2 linked regions of the Macaca fascicularis genome follow. The protein of the gene in region 1 interacts with the protein of each later gene in a biochemical or structural test. Links are inferred from orthologs where the notes say so. Each region holds a gene or a part of one and is shown on either strand. Other genes may lie near its edges. The genes, in order: MDC1 and CDC27.

The links.
Region 2: the proteins of MDC1 (region 1) and CDC27 form a complex in vitro, tested with the Homo sapiens proteins (2 studies listed by BioGRID). The link is inferred for Macaca fascicularis from reciprocal best matches to the Homo sapiens genes MDC1 and CDC27.

What each region holds. Positions count from the first base shown.
Region 1 is NC_088378.1:141,947,325-141,958,652, reverse strand, and holds the end of MDC1 (mediator of DNA damage checkpoint protein 1), read right to left. Parts: intron 10,198-11,328; coding exon 9,406-10,197; intron 9,295-9,405; coding exon 9,224-9,294; intron 7,939-9,223; coding exon 5,338-7,938; intron 5,255-5,337; coding exon 5,135-5,254; intron 5,020-5,134; exon of another isoform or gene 5,004-5,019; coding exon 4,821-5,003; intron 4,596-4,820; coding exon 4,470-4,595; intron 4,383-4,469; coding exon 4,272-4,382; intron 2,811-4,271; coding exon 2,643-2,810; 3' UTR 1,686-2,642; downstream 1-1,685. UniProt on the Homo sapiens protein: Histone reader protein required for checkpoint-mediated cell cycle arrest in response to DNA damage within both the S phase and G2/M phases of the cell cycle.
Region 2 is NC_088390.1:68,093,995-68,105,821, forward strand, and holds the end of CDC27 (cell division cycle protein 27 homolog), read right to left. Parts: intron 9,534-11,827; coding exon 9,459-9,533; intron 8,183-9,458; coding exon 8,026-8,182; intron 6,609-8,025; coding exon 6,526-6,608; 3' UTR 3,555-6,525; downstream 1-3,554. UniProt on the Homo sapiens protein: Component of the anaphase promoting complex/cyclosome (APC/C), a cell cycle-regulated E3 ubiquitin ligase that controls progression through mitosis and the G1 phase of the cell cycle.

The sequences.
Region 1 (11,328 bases):
CCGCCTCAGCCTCCCGAAGTGCTAGGATTACAGGCATGAGCCACTGCACCCGGGCTTTTTTTTTTTTTTTTTTTTTTTTTAGGTGGAGTCTTGCTCTATCACCCAGGCCAGAGTGCAGTGGCATAATCTCAACTCACTGCAACCTCCACTTCCCAGGTTCTAGCAATTCTTCTGCCTCAGCCTCCCAAGTAGCTGGGATTGCAGATGCCTGCCACCATGACTGGCTAATTTTTGTATTTTTAGTAGAGATGGGGTTTCACCATGTTGGCCAGGCTGGTCTCGAACTCCTGACCTCAGATGATCCACCTGTCTTGACTTCCCAAAGTGCTGGGATTACAGACATGAGCCACCATGACTGGCCTTTTATTTTTCTGAGACAAGGTCTCACTCTGTTGCCCAGGCTGAAGTGCAGTGGCTTGATGTTGGCTCACTGCAGCCTTGACCTCCTGGGCTCAAACAATTTTCCTCTCAGCCTCCCAAGTAGCTGGGACCATAGGTGTGTGCCACCATGCCCGGTGAATTTTTGTATTTTTGGTAGAGACAAGGTTTTGTCATGTTGCCCAGGCTGGTCGTGAACTCCTGAGCTCAAGTAATCTGCCCGCCTTGGCCTCCAAAGTGCTGGGATTACATGTGTGAGCCACTGTGCCCATCCATATGTTTAACTTTTTGAGGAACCATCAAACTGCTTACCACAAAGGCTGAACCATCTAATATTCCTACCAGCAATGTATAAGGATTCTAATTTCTCCACATCCTTGTAATCATCTTTTACATTTTAAATTTGGCTGGGCACGGTGACTCAAGCCTGTAATCCCAGCACTTTTGGAGGCTGAAGTGGATCACTTGAGGTCAGGAGTTAGAGACCAGCCTGGGCAACATGACAAAACCTTGTCTCTACCAAAAATACAAAAATTCACCAGGCATGGTGGCACACACCTATGGTCCCAGCTACTTGGGAGGCTGAGAGGAAAATCGTTTTGAGCCCAGGAGGTCAAGGCTGCAGTGAGCTGACATCAAGCTACTAGACTTCAGCCTAGACAACAGAGTGAGACCTTGTCTCAAAAAAATAAAAAGCCAGTCATGGTAGCTCATGTCTGTAATCCCAGCACTTTGGGAAGTCAAGACAGGTGGATCACCTGAGGTCAGGAGTTCAAGACCAGCCTGGCCAACATGGTGAAACCCCATCTCTACTAAAAATACAAAAATTAGCTAGGCGTGGTGGCATGTGCCTGCAATCCCAGCTACTCAGGAGGCTGAGGTGGGTGTGTCACTTGAGGTTAGAAGTTAGAGACCAGCCTGGGCAACATGACAAAACCTCGTCTCTACCAAAAATACAAAAATTTAACAGAGCCCCGTCTCTACTAAACAATTAAAAAAAAAAAAAAAAAAAAAAGTAGCCAGGCATGGTGGTGTGTGCCTGCAGTCCTAGCTACTTAGGAGGCTGAGGTGGGAGTACTGCTTGAACTGGGAGGTGGAGGTTGTAGTGAGCTGAGATGGTGCCACTGCACTCCAGCCTGGGTGACAGAGATGAAACCCTGTCTCAAGAAAAAAAAAAAAAAAACCCTTAAGAAATGTTATAATTTGCCCTAAATAGAAAATAATGATGAATTAAATATAAGTCTGTGACTTTTTTTTTAAAGTTTGTGTCTTGAGACCTAGACATTTTAAAAAACTACACTACACCATAAGGCACAGAGTGAATATTTATTTATCACAGAGGTCAAGCCTAAGCTCTAATTTTATAAATCCTGGAAAAGCAGGCCAGAAAAGTACAGAGACTTGCCCAAAGTCAAAGCTAAAGATGCTTCCAGAGGCCAGGAGAGAAGAAAATGTTTTAGTAGCACTCCATAACTGGACCCTCAAATCTACTCACTCCAAGCATCCCTTCAAGTTCCTGACTCCAAAGAATCTCAGTAAGAAAACAATAGAGATGGTTTCCAAATAGGAGGTAGGACACCATGAGTGGCATTGAGCAATAACTACAACAGTCTAGCTAAAGATACCTGCCACTTATGACATCTGAGCATGAAACTAATTTTAAAATGGCCATTTAGTATATACATGTAAGAAATCTTGTATCCCCTAAATCTATACAAATAAAAAACTACAAATAAAATGGCCATAAAAATGAAACAACAGGGCCGGGCGCGGTGGCTCAAGCCTGTAATCCCAGCACTTTGGGAGGCCGAGACGGGCGGATCACAAGGTCAGGAGATCGAGACCATCCTGGCTAACACGGTGAAACCCCGTCTCTACTAAAAAATACAAAAACCTAGCCGGGCGAGGTGGCGGGCGTCTGTAGTCCCAGCTACTCGGGAGGCTGAGGCAGGAGAATGGCGTGAACCCGGAAGGCGGAGCTTGCAGTGAGCTGAGATCCGGCCACTGCACTCCAGTCTGGGCGACAAAGCGAGACTCTGTCTCAACCAAAAAAAAAAAAAAAAAAAGAAACAACAAAACAAAAACAACAACCACCTGTGGCTTCCAAACGCCTTATCTTTTCATTTATTCATAAAGATTTCTGGTCCCACACATGTTCCAGGACAAGTTGTATCAATATACCCCAATCCTTTCTAACGCCCTGAGTTCTTTCTTCCAAATATCTTCTAATTCGTGGTCTGGGAGGGAAATGGGTAGCGGAGTTCTCAAGTAGATGACATCTCCAAAGGGGAAAGGACAAAGGCCTCTGGCTTGGCTTCCTGCTTCAGCACTCCAGTCAGCAGGAACTCAGGTGAGAGGAGGGGCAGCCCAACACGCAGTGGAACAGAGCAACGAGGGAAATCCTGAGGGCATGTGATCACAACTCTCTGAGGCTAGGGAAGACAGAGCAAAGACAAAATCAGGGGTGAAAAAGAATCCTAGAAATGGGTTCAGGACCCACTAACCAGTCTTAGCATCACTAAAATAATGCCTCCTAATATGAAGCCAAGTGAAGCACACCGTATACTGTCTATGAAATACTCTTGCTAGGCCAGGCACAGTGGCTCACTCCTGTAATCCCACCACTTTGGGAGGCCGAGGCGGGCAGATCACGAGGTCAGGAGATCGAGACCATCCTGGCTAACACGGTGAAACCCCGTCTCTATTAAAAACACAAAAAAATTAGCCGGGCGTGGTGGCAGGCGCCTGTAGTCCCAGTTACTTGGGAGGCTGAGGCAGGAGAATGGTGTAAACCCGGGAGGTGGAGCTTGCAGTGAGCTGAGATTGCGCCACTGCACTCTAGCTTGGGTGACAGAGCAAGACTCCATCTCAAAAAAAAAAAAAAAAAAAAAAAAAATTAGCTGGGTGTGGTGGCGTGCGCCTGTAGTCCCAGCTATTCAGGAGGCTGAGGCAGGAGAATGGCGTGAACCCAGGAGGCGGAGGTTGTAGTAAGCCAAGATTACTCCACTGTACTCCAGCCTGGCGACAGAGCAAGATTCTGTCTCAAAAAAAAAAAAAGGAAAAAAAAAAAAGAAACACACTTGCTAGAAAGATGAACCTGAATTCATTCAAGCTTTTACAATTATCTGCAGTTTCCAGGAAATATGGAATACAGAGGAACAAGATAAATGATGCAACAAGGAGGCAAACCCAAAATTCCACACTGAGGAACATTCTAAAGGACAAGTGACCCAGTTTCTGCAGGAAATTGATGGCATAAAAATAGCTGGGTGGGTTAAGGGATGCTGTAGAGTAAAGAGAATTAAGAGGATAATAGTTGTGGCAGTATGTAGACTTTATTTGAATCCTGATTTGAACAACTGCATAGAGAGATTTTTCAGTCAATGGGGGAAATTTTATTAATGGAGTGGGAGCAAATGACCAATAAACTACTGTTAATTTTGTTTAGGATCAATAATGGCATTGTGATTATGAAACAAAATGCACATATTTCTTAGAGATGTATATTTAAGTATGTAGGAAGAAATAATATAATATTGGCAGTTTGTTTTAAAATACTTCAGTAAAGAAAGAGAAAGGAAAAAAAGAAAGAATAAAGAAAAATAAAAAGAAAATACTTCAGCAAAGAAAATCAAAGGAAAAAAGGGATAGATGGACCAAAAGTAGCATAATCTAAATTAAGCTGCTGAATCTCGGTGATTGTTATATGGGTGTATCAGCAGATCTGTCCCCTCATTCCTATCCCTTTCTATACCATAGGCCTTTCCCCACCCTCTCACTACTCTATATTCTTTTCTGTACCTCCATTTTTTTCCCCTCCAACCTTTGCCATTCCAGCCACCTCTTTAACTGCTACTGCCACCTCATCCAGACCCAGAACATCCTAAGCATACCTTATAGGACCGAGGCATGCTGGGTAGGTATGTGCCTCCACAGCAGCTAATGATCTCTCCCATCTGAGGTGGTGGTGGCTGGACTCCAGGGGTCACATAGATCTCATAGCCCTAAGAGAAAAAATGGTGGAGACGGTATTGTAGGTTGGGAAGCACTGGAGGGAGGGCTGAAGCACAGGTCAAGAGATAGCCTCTCACCTCCAGCAGCCTTCGCTCCCGAGCCCGACTCAGTGCGTCTTGAAGGCTAAAGCCAAAGTTCTTCTCTTGCTCAGGGTCGGTCACCACATATTCATCCGGGGGTAAGAAGCAACCAGCCTTGCGGGACTAAGGACAGCAGCAGTCAGCATCAAAGCTCAGCCCAGCCCCTCACCCAGCTCTGCTGCCTAGCATTTAGAGAGAGCTCACAAAATGTCTTTTAAATCATTCAGGCTTCTGGCTCACTAATGCCCCTGTCTTCCTGTAACGCCTCTTCCCTTCCACAACTTTCTAGGGTACTACGTGAGCAGTCTTGCCACTATATTGGTCTGTCATCATCCCTTGGCCTCTCACCTGATGCAGCCAGTCCAGGGAGAGAATGGGGATTCCCCGCCCCAGGGCACACAGGAACTTGACTGTCCGGCGGATGCGATCAGTGACCAGGTGGGAAGCCTCTGCCGCTGAACCAGCCAGACTTCCCCCCAGTGCCAGCACGGCCCGCTCTCCCTGAGCATCCACCACTCCTGTGAAGAGCACCTGTGGAAGGGTTGACCTGAGGTGGTCACAGCAACCCACACCATCAGCACCCATCTCTACAATCCTCCAGGTCTCCTTGCATCCTCCCCTCATCTCTGTCTCCCACAAAGTCTCATGCCCTTGTCTCTTACTTTGGGGGCTGTTGACTCTTGGTTAAGTTTGGTCCGTCGGAGGCTGCGGTTCGGTATTCTGTTGGGCTCCTCCTCTGCCTGGTCTCTCTTTCTCTTGCCTGGTTTTGGAGTCATGACATCCTGAGATTGAGAAAAATCTTGGTGGGAGTTTCAGAGCCCCAAAGCCATTTTTCCCAGCTTTGTGGTCCTAGCCCTCTCCTCACCTCTTCCTTCCCTGGCTTCTCTGCAGTATCTTCTTCCTCTTCCTTGATAATCACTGTCTTCTGGGAGACTTCCCCTCTTTGGGGCTGTTTTTGATGTGGTGGTGAATCCATGATAGCTAAAGACCTCTTGCGGCTTTGAGAGGCCTTAGGCTGGAGCTCTGGGGTGAACCTAGATCTACCTGCTGGTTCCACTTTTTGGATCTGGGAGGCATGAGTTGGTATATCAAGAAGCTGGGGAGAGGCAGGCTCAGGAATGGCTGTAAGGGATTCATCTGCTCTCACTGCTCCCCATCTTTGGTTCCTTGAGGGCCGGGATTTAGGTTCCAGGGGTGCAGAGCAAGGCTTATGGTCAATGGGAGCTGTGAGGGAGCCAAGATTCCCAGTGGCTCTCTGCCTCTTGATGCAACTGGCTTGAGGAATAGGCTCAGGGGAAATGGGCTGGTCTGTGGTGACAGGAGATTGGAATTCAGGGGTAGTAGGAATTAGCATAGCACTTACTGTGGAAGACCTCAGTGTTTTGCTCTGACTACCCTGAGGTATGGCCTCAGGGGTGACAGGCTGGTCTGTGGGGGTAAAAGGCTCAAGATCAGAGGCTGCTGGTTCAACTGGTTCAGGAGTCTTGACAGAGGACCTATTTGTCCTTCCCCTAGTGGCCCTAGATGTGGGCTTGGGGGTGACAGGCTGGTCTGTGGAGGTGGTAGGATGGAGCTCAGGGGCTGTGGGGACAGCTGGTTCAGGGGTCTTGACAGAGGACCTATTTTTCCTGCCCCTAGTGGCCCGAGATGTGGGCTCAGGGGTGACAAGCTGGCTTCTGGAGGTGGAAGGGTGAAACTCAGGGGCTATAGGGACAATTAATTCAGGGGTCTTGACAGATGACCTATTTGTCCTGCCCCTAGTGGCCCGAGATGTGGGCTTGGGGGTGACAGGCTGGTCTGTGGAGGTGGTAGGACGGGGCTCAGGCGCTGTGGGCACAACTGTTTCAGGGGTCTTGACAGAAGACCTATTTTTTCTTCCCCTAGTGGTCCGAGATGTGGGCTCAGAGGTGACAGGCTGGTCTGTGGAGGTGGAAGCCTGGAGCTCAGGGACTGTGGGCACAACTATTTTAGGAGTCTTGACAGAGGTTCTATCTGTTCTTCCCCTAGTAGCCTGAGATGTAGGCTCGGGGGTAATAGGCTGGTGTGTGGAGGTGGAAGGCTGGAGCTCAGGTGCTGTGGAGACAACTGGTTCAGGGGTCTTGACGGAGGACCTATTTGTCCTGCCCCTGGTGGCCTGAGATGTGTGCTTGGCAGTGACTGGCTGGTGTGTGGAGGTGGAAGGCTGGAGCTCAGGGGCTGTGCGGAGAACTGTTTCAGGGCTCTTGACAGAGGACCTATTTGTCCTACCCCTGGTGGCCTGAGATGTGGGCTCAGGAGTGATAGGCTGGTCTGTGGAGGTGGAAGACTGGAGCTTAGGGGCTGTGGCCACAACTGTTTCAGGGGTCTTGACAGAGGACCTATTTTTTCTTCCCCTAGTAGGCTGATATGTGGGCTCAGTGATGACAGGCTGCTCTGTGGAGGTGGAAGGTGGGAGCTCAGGGGCTATAGGGACAGTTGATTCAGGGGTCTTGACAGAGGACATATTTGTCCTGCTCCTAGTGGTCCGAGATGTGGGCTTGGGGGTGACAGGTTGATCTGTGGAGTTGGAAGGGTGGAGCTCAAGGGCTGTGGGCACAACTGCTTCAGGGGTCTTGACAGAGGATCTATTTTTTCTTCCCCTAGTAGCCTGAGATGTGGGCTCAGAGGCGACAGGCTGGTCTGTGGAGGTGGAAGGCTGGAGCTCAGGGACTGTGGGGACAACTGGTTCAGGGGTCTTGACAGAGGACCTATTTGTCCTGCTCCTAATGGCCTCAGATGTGGGCTTGGGGGTGACAGGTTGATCTGTGGAGTTGGAAGGGTGGAGCTCAAGGGCTGTGGGCACAACTGCTTCAGGGGTCTTGACAGAGGACCTATTTGTCCTGCTCCTAGTGGCCTGAGATGTGGGCTTGGGGGTAACAGGTTGATCTGTGGAGTTGGAAGGGTGGAGCTCAAGGGCTGTGGGCACAACTGCTTCAGGGGTCTTGACAGAGGATCTATTTTTTCTTCCCCTAGTAGCCTGAGATGTGGGCTCAGAGGTGACAGGCTGGTCTGTGGAGGTGGAAGGCTGGAGCTCAGGGACTGTGGGGACAACTGGTTCAGGGGTCTTGACAGAGGACCTATTTGTCCTGCTCCTAGTGGCCTGAGATGTGGGCTTGGGGGTGACTGGCTGGGCTGTGGAGGTGGAAGGGTGGGGCTCAGGGGCAGCAGAGGTAGCTGGAAAGGGTGTCATCCTGGAGGACTTCCGAGTTATGATTTTAGGCTTTGGGTGGAAAGGCTCCAGCTCTGAGGACAAGGGAGTCTCTGGAGCTTCCTGACTCCTATCCTGCCCGGTCTTACGAATGGTTGGCTCGATAGAAGGTGAAAGGGGAGAAAGAAGGGGCTGAGGTGCAAGATGTTTCTGGTTCTGAGAGTTAAGGGGCTTTTGGGGTGGGGCTGAGGCTTCAGGCACTGTAGGAGGCAGACAAGCATCTGGAGATTCCTGATCGCCCTAGGGAGAAACAGAAGCAAGTGAGGGGGAGGAGGTGGAGAAAAGAGATAGAACTTGGATACTGTTCTTGATACTTGTTTATGGTTAGATAGGATTACTGGATTTCGCCCAGGCGTAGTGGCTCACGGCTATAATCCCAGCACCTTGGGAGGCCAAGGTGGGTGGATCACGAGGTCAGGAGTTCAAGACCAGCCTGGCCAACACAGTGAAACCCCGTCTCTACTAAAAATACAAAAAAAATTAGCCGGGTGTGTTGGCAGGTACCTGTAGTCCCAGCTACTTGGGAGGCTGAGGCAGGAGAATCGCTTGAACCTGGGAGGCAGAGGTTGCAGTGAGCCAAGATCGCGCCACTGCACTCCAGCCTGGGTGACAGAGTGAGCCTCTGTCTCAAAAAAACACATAAAAATTAGCTGGGCGTGGTGACACGCACATGTAGTCCCAGCCACTTGGGAGGCTGCAGCAGGAGAATCACTTGAACCCGGGAGATGGAGGTTGTAGTGAGCCAAGATCACGCCACTGCACACTCCAGCCAGGGTGACAGAGAGAGACTCTGTCTCAAAAAAGAACAAAAACAAAACAAAAAATATGCTCACTGGGCTGGGCGCGGTGGCTCACGCTTGTAATCCCAGCACTTTGGGAAGCCGAGGCAGGTGGATCACCTAAGGTTGGGAGTTCAAGACCAGCCTGACCAACATGGAGAAACCCCGTCTCTACTAAAAATACAAAATTAGCAGGGGTGGTGGCGCATGCCTGTAATCCCAGCTACTCGGGAGGCTGAGGCAGGAGAATCGCTTGAACCCGGGAGGTGGAGGTTGCGGTGAGCCGAGATCGCGCCACTGCACTCCAGCCTGGGTAAAAAGAGCGAAACTCTTTCTCAAAAAAAAAAAAAAATATGCTCACTGGATTTCCCTTTCTGTCTATGATCTCTCCTCCATTAGACTGGGATATACCTGGGAAGCTACTTTTCCCCATGGACCTGTCTCCATAATGCTACTATAGTGTTCTCCACACATGGATGATGGTAATGAAAAGGATGGCTGGGGCAAAGAAAGAAGAAACACGAAGGATCTTTCTTCGGAGTCAGGTAGGAGATACAACTTGGGAAACAGATATGGAAAACAATGGGTGCCGAGGATAAAGGAATAGAAGCCAATCAAGGAGTGATAAAAATGGAAGAAAACTGAATAATGAGAAAGGAATAGATTAAAGTGAGGCTAGGTGAAGGAGCGTTGGAGAGGATATAGAGATGACTTGTGGAGTAGGAGGTAGAAAAAGCAGCTCTCACCCTGGAAGCCTTCTCAGCAGCTCCGATCCTGGAAGCCTTCTCAGTGGGTGGCATCTTGCAATTCAGGAGGCCTAGACAGAAAATAAACACAAAGGTGGCTGAGTTGCAGGCAGCTGGTTGCCCAGGGGTTGATTATTATGAGGCCTGTGTATCACCTTGAGTTCCCCTCTGCCTTCACTTACCTTTCTGATGCCTCCTGGGGCTCACTGGGGATCCCCTTCCACCTGACTGGCTCCCAGAAGGTACGGGGGCTGAGGTAGGTCCCGGAAGGTCCCCCGCCCCCACCCCAGGCTCTGGTGTTGGGCTGGAGGCCTGCCCTTTCTGGTCCTGGCTCCCTCCCTTTGGCTCCCCTCTCTGTGCGTCTCTCTCCAGGATCACTTTGGGCACCTTCTCTTCTAACTCAGCTGGCTCACACTCTCTGTCTGCTACTGGTCTCTCTACTTCTCTCTCAAATGCTTTGCTTGGAAGGGTCTGCTTCTGTACTTGTTTCTCTTGTATTTCCTTGGATGTCTCAATTTCTACCTTCAAACTCTCCCTATCTCTTTCAGGACTTGCACTTTCCCCATTTTTGTCAGATTCTTGTCTCTGGGTGTCTCTAGCTAACAACTGTTTTTGTTCTCTGTCCTGTATCCCTCTGGCTAATTCTTCCTCTCCCGTCACATCTGTCTGTCTTTCCGGTAGCAGTTTCTCAGTTTCTCTCTCCAGTGGCCCTCTCTCAGGGCCCACCCTCTCTGCTGTTTCTTTTGGTATACCCATGCCTTTATCCACAGTCTGCCTCCCTCTGCCTTGAATCCCCATTGGCTCTGTGTGAACTGGGCTCTCTGGATGTTGGTCTCCTGGTATTGCCCTAGGTGGAGACAGGCAAGGTCCATAGGCCTCAAGGTGGGTGTCAAAAGGCTGGGTCTCAGAGTCCTCAGACTCTCTCAGACAGAATGGCTGTGTAGCCAGGACCTCCCATGGTTCATCTAGGGTACCTGGAAGGGAGGAAGGAAGAGAAAGAGAGGGAGAGAGAGAGAGAAAAGGAGAGGAGGAGGGAAAGGGAAGTACAGGTTGACATAATAAATATGATGAGAAAAGATTTAGATAAACTCATAAATAATAAATCTCAACAGGTTATTAAAGGAAAGCTGGGAATAAGGGTGGTAGTTACAACATTTAACGTTTGTCTCAAAAAGGTCATAGCCTTGGGCGGGCATGGTGGCTCAGACATGTAATCCCAGCACTTTGGGAGGCCAAGACATGAGGATTGCTTGAGGTCAGGAGTTTGAGACTAGCCTGAACAACATGGCAAAACCCCATCTCTACAAAAAATACAAAAAAATTAGCCAGGTGTGGGGGCAGGGACCTGTAGTCCTGTAGTCTCAGCTACCCAGGAGGTTGAGGTAGAAGAACTATTTGAACCCCAGAAGTCAAGACTGTAGTGAGCTGCGATCATACCACTGCACTTCAGCCTGAGTGACAGAGACCCTGTCTCAAAAAAAAAAAAAAAAGAAAAAAAAACCCAACAACAAAAAGAAAAACATCATAGCCTAATATGAGTTCCCTGAATAGTCTCTCCTCATACCACTGCACTCCAGCCTGAGTGACAGAGACCCTGTCTCAAAAAAATAAAAAAATAAAAACATCATAGCCTAATAAGAGAGTTCCCTGAATAGTCTCTCTCTTTTTCTTTTTGAGACACAGTCTCACTCTGTCACCCAGGCTGGAGTGCAGTGGCATGATGTTGGCTCACTGCAACTTCCAACTGCTGGGCTCAGGAGATCCTCTCACCTCAGCCTCCTGAGTAGCTGGGACTATAGCATGTGCCAATGCGCCCGGCTAATTTTTTGTATTTGTTGTAGATATGGGGCTTGGTCTTGAACTCTTGGACTCAAGTGATCCGCCCATCCTAGCCTCCCAAAGTGCTGGGATTACCGGTGTGAGCCACCATGCTTGGCTGGAATTTCCTACTTTTTAAAGGCTGAATAGTATTCCACTGTGTATATATACCACATTTTCTTTTTCATCGACACATAATAATGGTACATATTTATGGGGTACCTGTGCTATTTTGACTCATGCATACAGTGTACAATGATAAAACCAAGATAATTGGGATATCCACT
Region 2 (11,827 bases), on another chromosome or scaffold:
TTTGAGATGGAGTCTCACTTTGTTGCCCAGGTTGGAGTGCAGTGGCACGATCTGGGCTCACTGCAAGCTCTGCCTCCTGGATTCACACCATTCTCCTGCTTCAGCCCCCCGAGAAGATGGGACTACAGGTGCCCGCCACCACGCCCAGCTAATTTTTTTTTTTTTTTTTTAGTAGAGACGGGGTTTCACCGTGTTAGCCAGGATGGTCTTGATCTCCTGACCTCATGATCCGCCTGCCTCGGCCTCCCAAAGTGCTATGATTACAGGCGTGAGACACGCGCCCGAACATAAATACATTTTTATTTTTTCCTTTGAGACAGGGGCTCACTCTGCCACTCAGGCTGGGTACAGCAGTGCCATCACGGCTTACTGCAGCCTCAACCTCTGAGGCTCAAGCGATCCTTTCATCTCAGCCTCCTAAGTAGCTGGGACCAGAGGTGCACTCCTCCATGCCTGGCTAATTTTTACCCATTTTTTGTAGAGATGGGGTCTATGTTACCCAGGCTGGTCTCGAACTCCTTGGCTCAAGTGATCCATCACCCTCAGCCTCCGAAAATGTTAACATTACAGGTATGAGCCACGATGCCCAGCATACATTTCTCTTTCTTTTCTTTTCTTTTTTTTTTTTGAGACGGAGTCTTGCCCTGTCACGCGGGCTGGAGTGCAATGGTGTGATCTCGGCTCACTGCAACCTCCACCTCTCAGGTTCAAGTGATTCTCCTGCCTCAGCCTCCTGAGTAGCTGGGACTACAGATGCACGCCACCACGCCTGGCTAATTTTTGTATTTTTAGTAGAGACGGGGTTTCACCATATTGGCCAGGATGACCTCGATCTCCTGACCTCATGATCCACCCGCCTTGGCCTCCCAAAGTGCTGGGATTACAGGTGTAAGCTACCGCACCCGGCCCATTTTTTTTTTTTTTTAATTTAATACAGATGGGGTCTTGTTATGCTGCCCAGGCTGGTCTCTTATCTCAGGCTCAAGCAATCTGCCCATCTTGGCCACCCAAAGTGCTGGGATTAAAGGTGTGAGCCACAACGTCTGGCCTACAGTTTTCCTTAACAGTGTTGAATATTAAAAGGATGCTTGAGGCTGGGGCGGGCGAACTGCTTGAGCCCATGAGTTTGAGACCAGCCTGAGCAATACGGCAAAACCCTATCTCTACAAAAATACAACAATTAGCTGGGAGTGGTGGGGCATGCCTGTTGGTCCCAACTACTTGGGAGGCTAAGGCAGGAGGATCCCTTGAACCTGGGAAGTAGAGGTTGCAGTGAGCTGTGATCGTGCCACTGCATTCCAGCCTGAGTAACAGAGCAAAACCCTGTCTCCAAAAAAACAATGCTTGTGATAGAGGAAATTGTTAATAAAAATGCAAGAACTGAAGGAAAATTGAAGATTTATAACTTTCTACTTTAAAGCAAATCCTAGTCACTCAAAGAGGGAAAATATATTCCAATTTCAGTGGGAGAAGAGTAACGAAGCAGCACATAGATCAAAGCCCTAACAAAGGACTATACTACAACAGATCTGGATGATTAATAATCAAGTTTTTTCTGTAAAACCTGGACCTGGATGTTAGCCTACAGTAGAGTTTATATTTAAAAATGCTAGGCTGGGCACGGTGGCTCATGCCTGTAATCTCAACACTTTGGGAGGCCGAGGTGGGCGGATCATGAGGTGAAGAGATAGAGACCATCCTGGCTAACATGGTGAAACCCCGTCTCTACTAAAAATACAAAAAAAATTACCCGGGCGTCGTGGGGGGCGCCTGTAGTCGCAGCTACTCGTGAGGCTGAGGCAGGAGAATGGTGTGAACCCTGGGAGCTTGCAGTGAGCTGAGACTGTGCCACTGCACTCCAGCCTGGGTGACAGAGTGAGACTCCATCTCAAAAAAAGAAAAAAAAAATGCTAGAGAGGGCTGGCCATGGTGGCTCATGCCTATAATCCCAACACTGTGGGAGGCCGAAGTGGGCGGATCACCTGAGGTCGGGAGTTTGAGACCAGCCTGACCAACATGGAGAAACCTTGCCTCTACCAAAAATGCAAAAATCAGCCAGGCGCAGTGGTGCATGCCTGCCGTCCCAGCTACTTGGGAGGCTGAAGCAGGAGAAGCACTTGAAACTGGGAGGTGGAGGTTGTGGTGAGTGGATATCGCGCCATTGCACTCTAGTCTGGGCAACAAGAGTGAAACTCTGTCCCCCCCACAAAAAAAAAAAAAAAAAAAAAAAAAAAAGCTAGAGAGGGCTGGGTGAGGTGGCTCACGCTTATAATTCCAGTGCTTTGGGAGGCTGAGGTGGGAGGATTGCTTGAGGCCAGGAGTTTGAGATCAGCCTGGGCAACACAGCAATACCCTGACTCTACAAAAATAAAAAATAAAAAATGAGCCAGGTGTGGTGCTGCATGTGTGGTCCTGGCTTCTTGGGTGGCTGAGGTGGGAGGATTGCTTGAGTCCAGGAGTTCGAGGCTGCAGTGAGCTATGATCATACTACTGCACTCCAGGCTGGGGGTCAGAGCGAGACTGTCTTAAAAAAAAAATGCTAGAGAAGACAACTTACAGTTACCATTAAACATGACTTGAAACCTCCAGAGGAAGTCCAAAACTAAAATATAACATTCTGAACATACACTAATGCCAAAAGTGCCCAGTTGTATCATTTAATAGCTGAGCCTGTTTTCTCTTTTGTAAAATGAAGTAATACCTACCTTCTACTGTTGAGAATTGAAAATACCATCCACAAAGCAAGCAACACAATCCATAGAGCAGGATCTCAACAAACACAGCTTTTTAACAAAGTTTGCACTTACAGAGAAAAATAAAACCTGTACTGAACCTTTATGAACCGTGAGTTGTCAGCTAAACAAGCCAAAGAATAGTTCCATGTCTAAGCTGCTGTTTATCCTTGTTCAGCTGACATTAAATGGCAGGTCCTAGGGAAGGTTATGAGGTCTGTGTTGTTCCCCTTGGAACTGCCCAGCTCACCCCACCTTCATGTGTTTTTCCCTGTTACTGCCTTTTCTTCAAGTCTGAATAAAACCCTTCAGCTCTCTGTACTTTCTCCAAGATACCAAAAAAAAAAAAAAAAAAAAAAAAAAGATTTTCAAATTAGAGTAAAATTCAGTTTCTACATCTTCTTTCAGATCCTGACCTTTTTAAATAGATTCTAATTGGAACAAAAAACCTTTGTGTCCCTTTTGAAGAAATTTCAGAAATCATGTGATCAAAGGATAAGCAGTTGACTTGCAAATTCACAGCTGCTGGTTGGCAACAGGGCTTCTGTAGTTTGAAAAAAGGTATTCTAAAAATTACCATTGTTTTTGTCATAGTATTTATTTTGATATTCCAAATAATACTAAAAAAGAGTATGACCGTTTAAAAATATAAATATATTAAAAGAGTGTAAGTTTTAAAAAATTAGATAAACATTGCTCTAGATTTTTGTGAAACATAAAATTGTATCTCTATTTTTCTGTGCCTTCTTATGAAAATACAGATGGCACAGCTTTCATATAGCTTTAACAACTTGATTATAAATTGCTTTCAAAAGTAACTTATTTGGATTTTCCATATCCTTTAATGAATTGCAAATATATTAACAGAAAAGACTTTCCCCCTCAAGACTGTACAATTTCTGAAATAAGTCAGTTAAAGCAAAAAGAAGACACAAAATTACATTGTTTCAATGCAAACAGAACACACACTTCACACCCACACTTGCATTTTCCCAGGTTTTCACAAAGAAAATGGGTCACCATATTTCTCAGTGAAGACTCATACTATACTCTGGCTAATCAGAGACTTCCAAACTTTTTTCTTCAAAAAGAGCATTTTTAATAGACTAAATACTGGTTATCACTGAGTTTTTGTTTAAGGTACAACAGCAGCATGGTTCAAATGTTACTTGTAGTTCTTGGAAAAATCAAAAATTTTAAGTGATGAATACAGAAAATGTAGGGACCACCTTTCATTATTTTGAGTACCACTGTTCTCTTGAAAAAATATTCTAACCTTCTAAAATCCCAGAGTTAAGAACCATTTCCAAGGGGAAAAACAAATCCAAGGCCACAGCATAGCTTCTGAACAAGTGTGTGTGCATATATATGTATTAGGTTGGTGCAAAAGTAACTGCAGGTTTTGCCATAAAAGTCATGGCAAAAACCACAATTACTTATGCACCAACCTAATATATGTGTGAAACAGAGAAAAGGATGTCAAACTACTTAATTTAATTTCTGTAAAATAAACTTCTGATGTTTGAAACAAACATTTTGCTTGATCAAAATGTGTTCTTCTTCTGGTTGTTTGATCCCCATTCCATGCAAAAAACAAAACAAAAAAAGAAACTGTAAAAGCCAGAAAGTGTTACAAGGTGGGAAATAAGGCTTCAGATACCTAATGACTTTAAAAGTAGGTATGAGGAAAAATAAAATAGGCCAAGCTTGGGCGGAAACTGTTCCCCAGCCAGCCATTGCCATGGCGTGTCTTACAAAACGATCCTTTTATCCTTGGTCTCAAAAAATCAGTACCAGAAAGACTCTCACCTCTGGCACAGGACATAAATTCCTACTATAAAAAGATAATTATACTTCAGCAAATTATGTTCTAAGCTTAGCTTTCTCCAGGCTTTATAACGCAGAACTCAGGTTGAAGCTTTCTATAAAACTCTAAATGACACTGTTACACAGCACCTTGTGCTTTGCCAATTAAAAATATAAAAGAATCTAAAATTACATATTACAGAACTAATGGATAATACAATAGCATATGTGTTAGAATCCAAGTGCTAGCCTCTGGGAATTTTTCATTACATTTATTTTCTCCCAACTGTTCCTTTTTTTAAAAAAGTATTTTTTTAGACAGTACATATACATAAATTTAGGTAGGGAAATCTGTTAAATATTTCTCTGGCACCTGATACCTAAACACCCTGACTTGAATTAATTTATAATTGTACCTAATCCATATTCAAATGAGATTAACAGTAAATTATAGAAAATTACTGAGTCTACAGGCTAAAATTTTTTTCACATCTTTTGTAATCCACCTTATTTTCACAGCTTGACTAACAAATACAGGTAAGGTTGTCCTTCATCAAATAATCCAAAATAATAACTGTAGGCCTGTCATTCATAAGAAACTATAATTTGTTATATTCTGACATTGGCACTTAATAAAATGTTAACAACTAAAGTTTCTCTAAAATTTCAATACATTACAATAAAGGAGATAAACAATTTAAGACTGTTTAAATCTGTTATGGTGGAATTCCAATAATTATCAATTTATATGCATAATTAAATTCTTAAAATTGTGGCCATTTCCCAAAGACACCAACTGATATTATGACAAACTCAGAAGAGAACCTATCTCCTTCTTAAGAATGTTTCTTCCCCCAAGCTAAAAATTTCCAATATCCTAAACCCAATTCTTAGTAAATGTTTTGGTGACTCACACTACTGAAAAAATCTGAAGCAGAGAGTCAAAAAGAATGGAAAGGATCTCAACCAAAGATAACCGCACATTCTTACACTCTGCTTAAGCAAACACTTAGAAAAGTCAAAGGGATAATGTTTTGAACAAATATAGATTCCAGGTTATGGTACAATTCTGATTATATTAAGGCTTTCACTATCATGATCTCTTAAAGTCTCTACACTTTAGTGTTCTCATTCTGATTGATATGGTGAACTTAAGGGATTATTAAGGGCCTTGTTTTGGCTTCTCAGTGGGGAACCACTCTATCATCTCTGAATGTTAAAGGTGATCCCACAGAGCTCAAAGAGAAGAGGCAATATGGTATGAACCAATTTTAAAGTCTGCAATACCAAGACAACAATGATCAACACTTTGAAGCAAGATGAATAAATTAAAATTCTTGGTTAGACATTAAAGCATTCTTGCCAAGAATAAGTGTACACTGTATGGAGGGATATTTGATTCCTACATACGAATCCCAATATGCCCATTACATTTGTTTATGGGAGACACTGCAAGTTGAAGGTAATTTACATTCCTTGGCAATCAAGTTACTGTTATAGGCAACGTCTTTTATTGTTCCATCTGGCACTTGCAAACACCATTCTTGAAGAACCTAGAAATGACGGTCAGTTACTCTGTTTATCAGGAACAGAACCAAATAAAAACAAATTTTTGAGAAAGCAACCAAGAAATTCTGGTTCATCACTATTTTCCATATCTAATGGTTCCTTCAAGATAAAACATAACTCTTCCTTTCATGATACTTTCCAACAAAGGGAGATTAAAGAAAAACAGAAAAGAAAGTCCCCACCCTACCCCCCATAAATTGTCATTCATACTGGTAAAAGAGCCAGTCTTGTTAGCAGCTAAATATTGCACTGCCTTTCATTCCGTATACAGTCAGGGTCCAATGAAAGTGGCACACTCATGGTATAAGTGATGGATGATGACACCGCCGGCTCAAGAGTAAAGACTCAGTATATGGAGGGACAAGAAACATGTCAGCACTAGTCACACATCCAGTTGTAAAAGTCCGATTTCCAGAAGTTAAAATTCATCACTTTCAGCTGCATGAAGTTGTGTGTCATCCGCATCTGTCATGCTGCTCTCCTGGGATTCATCTGTTCCCACTTTAAAAATAAAACAAAAGTCTACAGTAAGGTTTCTGACAAACATATCCTGTTGGTTCACGAAAACAAGAAAAATTGTATTATATTCAGAGAGATAAAACCCTAAATAAAGGCCCTTAAAAATCCTCATATCCTTTAATAAAATGCAACTCAAGTTTCCTAACTTTGTAATAGGTCTGACATTAGCTTACTGCATTTTACTTTTAAGGTTTTAACTACCAAAACTGCCTCTCCCTAATGGGTTCCTTATTCCTGCCCTAGGAATTACAACTAGCTAGTTCTCTGAGACATTAAAAAAAAAAAAAAATTGACATTTCCCCAACCTCCAATCACTGACTCCACTTTAAGAATACTTCCTGCTAGTCCACAGAAACATAGACTATAACCTTCAGTTTCAAAAGGTTTATGGGGTCTATCTATCTATCTATCTATTAATCAATCAATCATCTATCTCGGTCTGTCACCTAGGCTGGAGTGAAGTGGCACAATCATAGCTCACTGCAGCCTCAAACTCCTGGGCTCAAGTGGTATGATTCTCCTGCCTCAGTCTCCCAAGTAGCTGGGACTATAGATGCATACCACCACATCCAGCTAATTTAAAAAATTTGTTTAGAAGCAGGGTCTCACTGGCTCGTCGTGAAATCCTAGGCTCAAGCAATCCTCCCACCTCAGCCTCCTGAGTAGCTGGGATTACATACACAAGCCATCATGCCTGGCTTATAATTTTTTTTTTTTTTGAGACAGAGTTTCATTCTTGTTATCCAGGTTGGAGTGCAATGGCATGACTTCAGCTCACTGCAACTTCAGCCTCCTGGGTTCAAGCGATTCTCCTGTCTCAGCCTCCCGAGTAGCTGGGATTACAGGTGCCTGCCACCATGCCCAGCTAACTTTTGTATTTTTAGTAGAGATGGGGTTTTACCATGTTGGTCAGCTGGTGTCGATCTCCTGACCTCAGGTGATACACCCACCTCCGCCTCCCAAAGTGCTGGAATTACAGGCCTGAGTCACTGTGCCTGGCCCCGTGGCTTATAATTTTAATTAAAGGTTTTCACCAAGTTTTCTGGAACAAAGGCATCTAATCAGAATTTACCTTGTCAGAAATTTCTCTATTCTCTTATTTAAAAGACTACATTCTTAGGAAGCAAATAAAACACTACTGGTTACATATTCAAACATAAATTGAGGCCCAGGTAAAAATTAGCAATGAATTTATCAAAGTCACACAGCAAACTAGATCCAGAACAGAGACTAATTATCTGACTTTATATGCATTTTGTTATTATATCACCCTGTTCAATTTCCCTAAAAGTTCATTTGGTAACACCACGGTTAGAAAAATAAAATAAAGGAGTAGCCTACAAATCCTTATGCAAAAGGTAACTTTCTAAATACTCAAAATCATATGTGTGATACTTACTGATCTGTTCTTCTTGGGTTATTGGCTCCTCATCATCTGGAAGATAGCGCTTATCAATTGCCTCTTTAATCTGGTTATTGGCTCCTTTAGGATCTAAATCCATAGCCCAAGAGAAATTCATCAGGGCGAGGTGCGTTTGACCTAACTTCTTGTAAACCTAAAAATAAACAGCAATACTACATTTTTCATTAAGTTGTGAGCTTCAACTATAAAATTCTAAATATTTATATATTTATTTATTTTTGAGATGGAGTCTTGCTCTATTGCCCAGGCTAGAGTGCAATGGCGCGATCTTGGCTCACTGCAACCTCTGCCTCCCAGGTTCAAGCAATTCTCCTGCTTTAGTCTCCTGAGTAATTGGGACTACAGGTGCCCGCCACTGCTCCTGGCTAATTTTTGTATTTATAAGTAGAGACAGGGTTTTGCCATGTTAGCCAGGCTAGTCTCAAACTCCTGACCTCAGGTGATCCACCTGCCTCAGCCTCCCAAAGAGTGCTGGGATTACAGGCGTGAGCCACAGTGCCCAGTCTCTACAGTTCTAAATATTTATAATTTAAACTAGGCTCCTGATTTATGTGATCTAAACTTATTCTAACGGTAGGACATTTTCTTCCTACAGATGAACTCATACCAGCTTTTGAGTTCCTTTTCATATAATCAGATATTATTTTCAGAATTCCTTGCTTCTATCTTTCAGGTAGTAAGTTTCCAATAAATATCACTCTGACTGGAACAATGATAATGGGATTAAATGGATTATAAATTGCTTAATTAACTTTCATTTACAGTGATTTTAAATTGAGTTATATCAACTCTTAACAACTGTCTACAGGCACCTTAACTAATTGGCATATGGGGGTCTAGTATGTAAAAAACTGACTAGTCTGGCCTTGGGACTCTCAGAAGCCATTTCTCTTAATCAAGACAACACAGTGCCATTCATGTTCTTCTTCTTCTTTCTCTTTTTTTTTTGTTTCTGAGACAGAATCTTGTTCTCTTGCCCAGGCTGGAGTGCAGCAGCGTGATCTTGGCTCACGGCAACCTCCGCTCCCGGGTTCAAGTGATTCTCGTGCCTCAGCCTCCGGAGTAGCTGTGATCACAGGCATGAGTCACTACGCCCAGCTAATTTTTGTATTTTTAGTAGAGGTCGGGTTTCACCATGTTGGTCAGGCTGGTCTTAAACTCCTGACTCAGGTAATCCACCTGCCTAGGCCTCCCAAAGTGCTGGGATTACAGGCGTGAGGCACCGTGCCCAGCTAGGATATCATTTTCTCAAGTGTTAGAACCAAATCTGTTATTCCCAGAGCACTCAGTTTGGAGCTTTAGTTGAATTTGCTCAATAGATATTGTACAGTAAGTATTAAATTTATTCTTATAAAATGTCAATATTTGCTGTGAAAGTCACTGTTTGGGACCACGGCCCCAGTCTTTACCTTTCCTATTAAGAAGTAAACGAGGGATTCTTTGGGAACAATTTGTTTCAATTCTTCAAGTTCTTGTAAAGCAGACTGAAAAAGGCAAAGAAAAACCTTAAAGTATCAAAAATTTTTAAAGTTTTGACCAAGCAATTTTTTTATTTGATTTCCCAAATCACCTTCATAAAAGCTAACTAAATCTTAATCAATATACTTCCTTATTGTATTAGTTCTTATTGTTGTGAAAATAAAACGCATACTTAAAGTAAGTACTAAGAAATAGCAGGCACTCTAGTACACTGAAAACACACACACACACAGACACACACACACACACACCCCTCTTTGTGAAATATGCAGGTGGTGACAATCCTTGCTTTTGGTCATCTATCTATCTATCTATTTATTTTTATTTATTGAGAAGGAGTCTCGCTGTCGCCCAGGCTGGAGTGCAGTGGTACAATCTCTGCTTACTGCAATCTCTGCTTCTCAGATTCATGCAATTCTCCTGCCTCAGCCTCCCGAGTAACTGGGATCACAGGCATGCACCACCACACCCAGCTAATTTGTGTATTTTCAGTAGAGACGGGGTTTCACCATGTCAGCCAGGCTGGTCTTGAACTCCTGACCCAAGTAATCTGCCCGCCTCAGCTTCCCAAAGTGCTGGGATTACAAGCGTGAGCCACCGTGCCTGGCCCAGTGATTTATTTTTTAATGAAAAATAACTATATAATTTTTCAGAACAACAAAAAGTCATTGAGAAGAGTGGCATTAACATTTCTGCAAGTCTCTGTTAGTAGAAGACAGCTAGATTCTCACATCTATCTCCTCCATTTAATCTGTTTTGATATCACATATTATGTAGCTTTTGGAAAATTCTACTGTCCATTTGGGACAGAATGAAGACTGAAAAAGGTAAATAATGTCAAGACATTATTGTAAAAATAGCTCTGACCTCTAAGACTCTTTAGAATAATTTTAGGGACCCCCAGAAGTTCCCAGACCACTTCTGAGAATCATTAAAGAAATCTTTTTCTTTTTCTGAGACAGACTGTCATTCTGTCACCCAGGCTGGAGTGCGGTGGTGCGATCTCTGCTCACTGCAACCTCTGCTTCCTGGGTTCAAGTGATTCTCCTGCCTCAGTCTCCTAAGTAGCTGGGATTACAGATGCTTACCTGTAATTCCTGGCTAATTTTGTCTTGTATTTTTTTTTTTTTTTTTTTTGAGACGGAGTCTCGCTCTGTCGCCCAGGCTGGAGTGCAGTGGCCAGATCTCAGCTCACTGCAAGCTCCGCCTCCCGGGTTTACGCCATTCTCCTGCCTCAGCCTCCCGAGTAGCTGGGACTACAGGCGCCCGCCACCTCGCCCGGCTAAGTTTTTGTATTTTTTAGTAGAGACGGGGTTTCACCGTGTCAGCCAGGATGGTCTCGATCTCCTGACCTCGTGATCCGCCCGTCTCGGCCTCCCAAAGTGCTGGGATTACAGGCTTGAGCCACCGCGCCCGGCCTTGTCTTGTATTTTTAGTAGAGATGGGGTTTCACTATGTTGCCCAGGCTAGTCTTGAACTCCTGACCTCAGGTGATCCACCTGCCTTGGCCTCCCAAAGTGCTAGGATTACAGGCGTAAGCCACTGCGCCTGGCCTTACTTTAAAGAAATCTTTTTTCTTTTTGAGATGGAGTTTTGCTCTGTCACCCAGGCTGGAGTACGGTGTCATGATCTTGGCTCACTGCAACCTCCGCCTCCCGGGTTCAAGCGATTCTCCTGCCTCAGCCTCCTAAGCAGCTGGAATACAGGTGCGTGCCACCACGTCCGGCTAATTTTTGTATTTTAGTTGACACAGGGTTTCACCATATTGGCAAGCTGGCCTCGAACTTCTGACCTCAAGTGATCCTCTCACCATGGCCTCCCAAAGTGCTGGGATTACAGGCGTGAGCCATCATGCCCAGCCTTTAAAGAAATCTTTTTTTCCCCCCCGAGATGGAGTTTTGCTCTATCGTCCAGGCTGGAGTGCAGTAGCTCACTGCAACTTCTGCCTCCCAGGTTGAAGCGATTCTCCTGCTTCAGCTTTCCAAATAGCTGTGATTACAGGTGCCCGCCACCATACCTGGCTAATTTTTGTATTTTTAGTAGAGATGGGGTTTCACCATGTTGGCCAGGCTGGTCTTGAACGCCTGACCTTGTGATCCACCCGCCTCAACCTCCCAAAGTGCTGGGATTACAGACGTGAGCCGCTGTGCCTGTCCTTTAACGAAATCTTAACCTTCAAGATGACAGACTCCAATCCTCCTTCACTGCTACAACACACCCAATTCAGAACTGATACGTTTTCTTGCTATGACTGCATATTATAATTGTTATCAACATTTCATGCAACTAGCATGCCTAT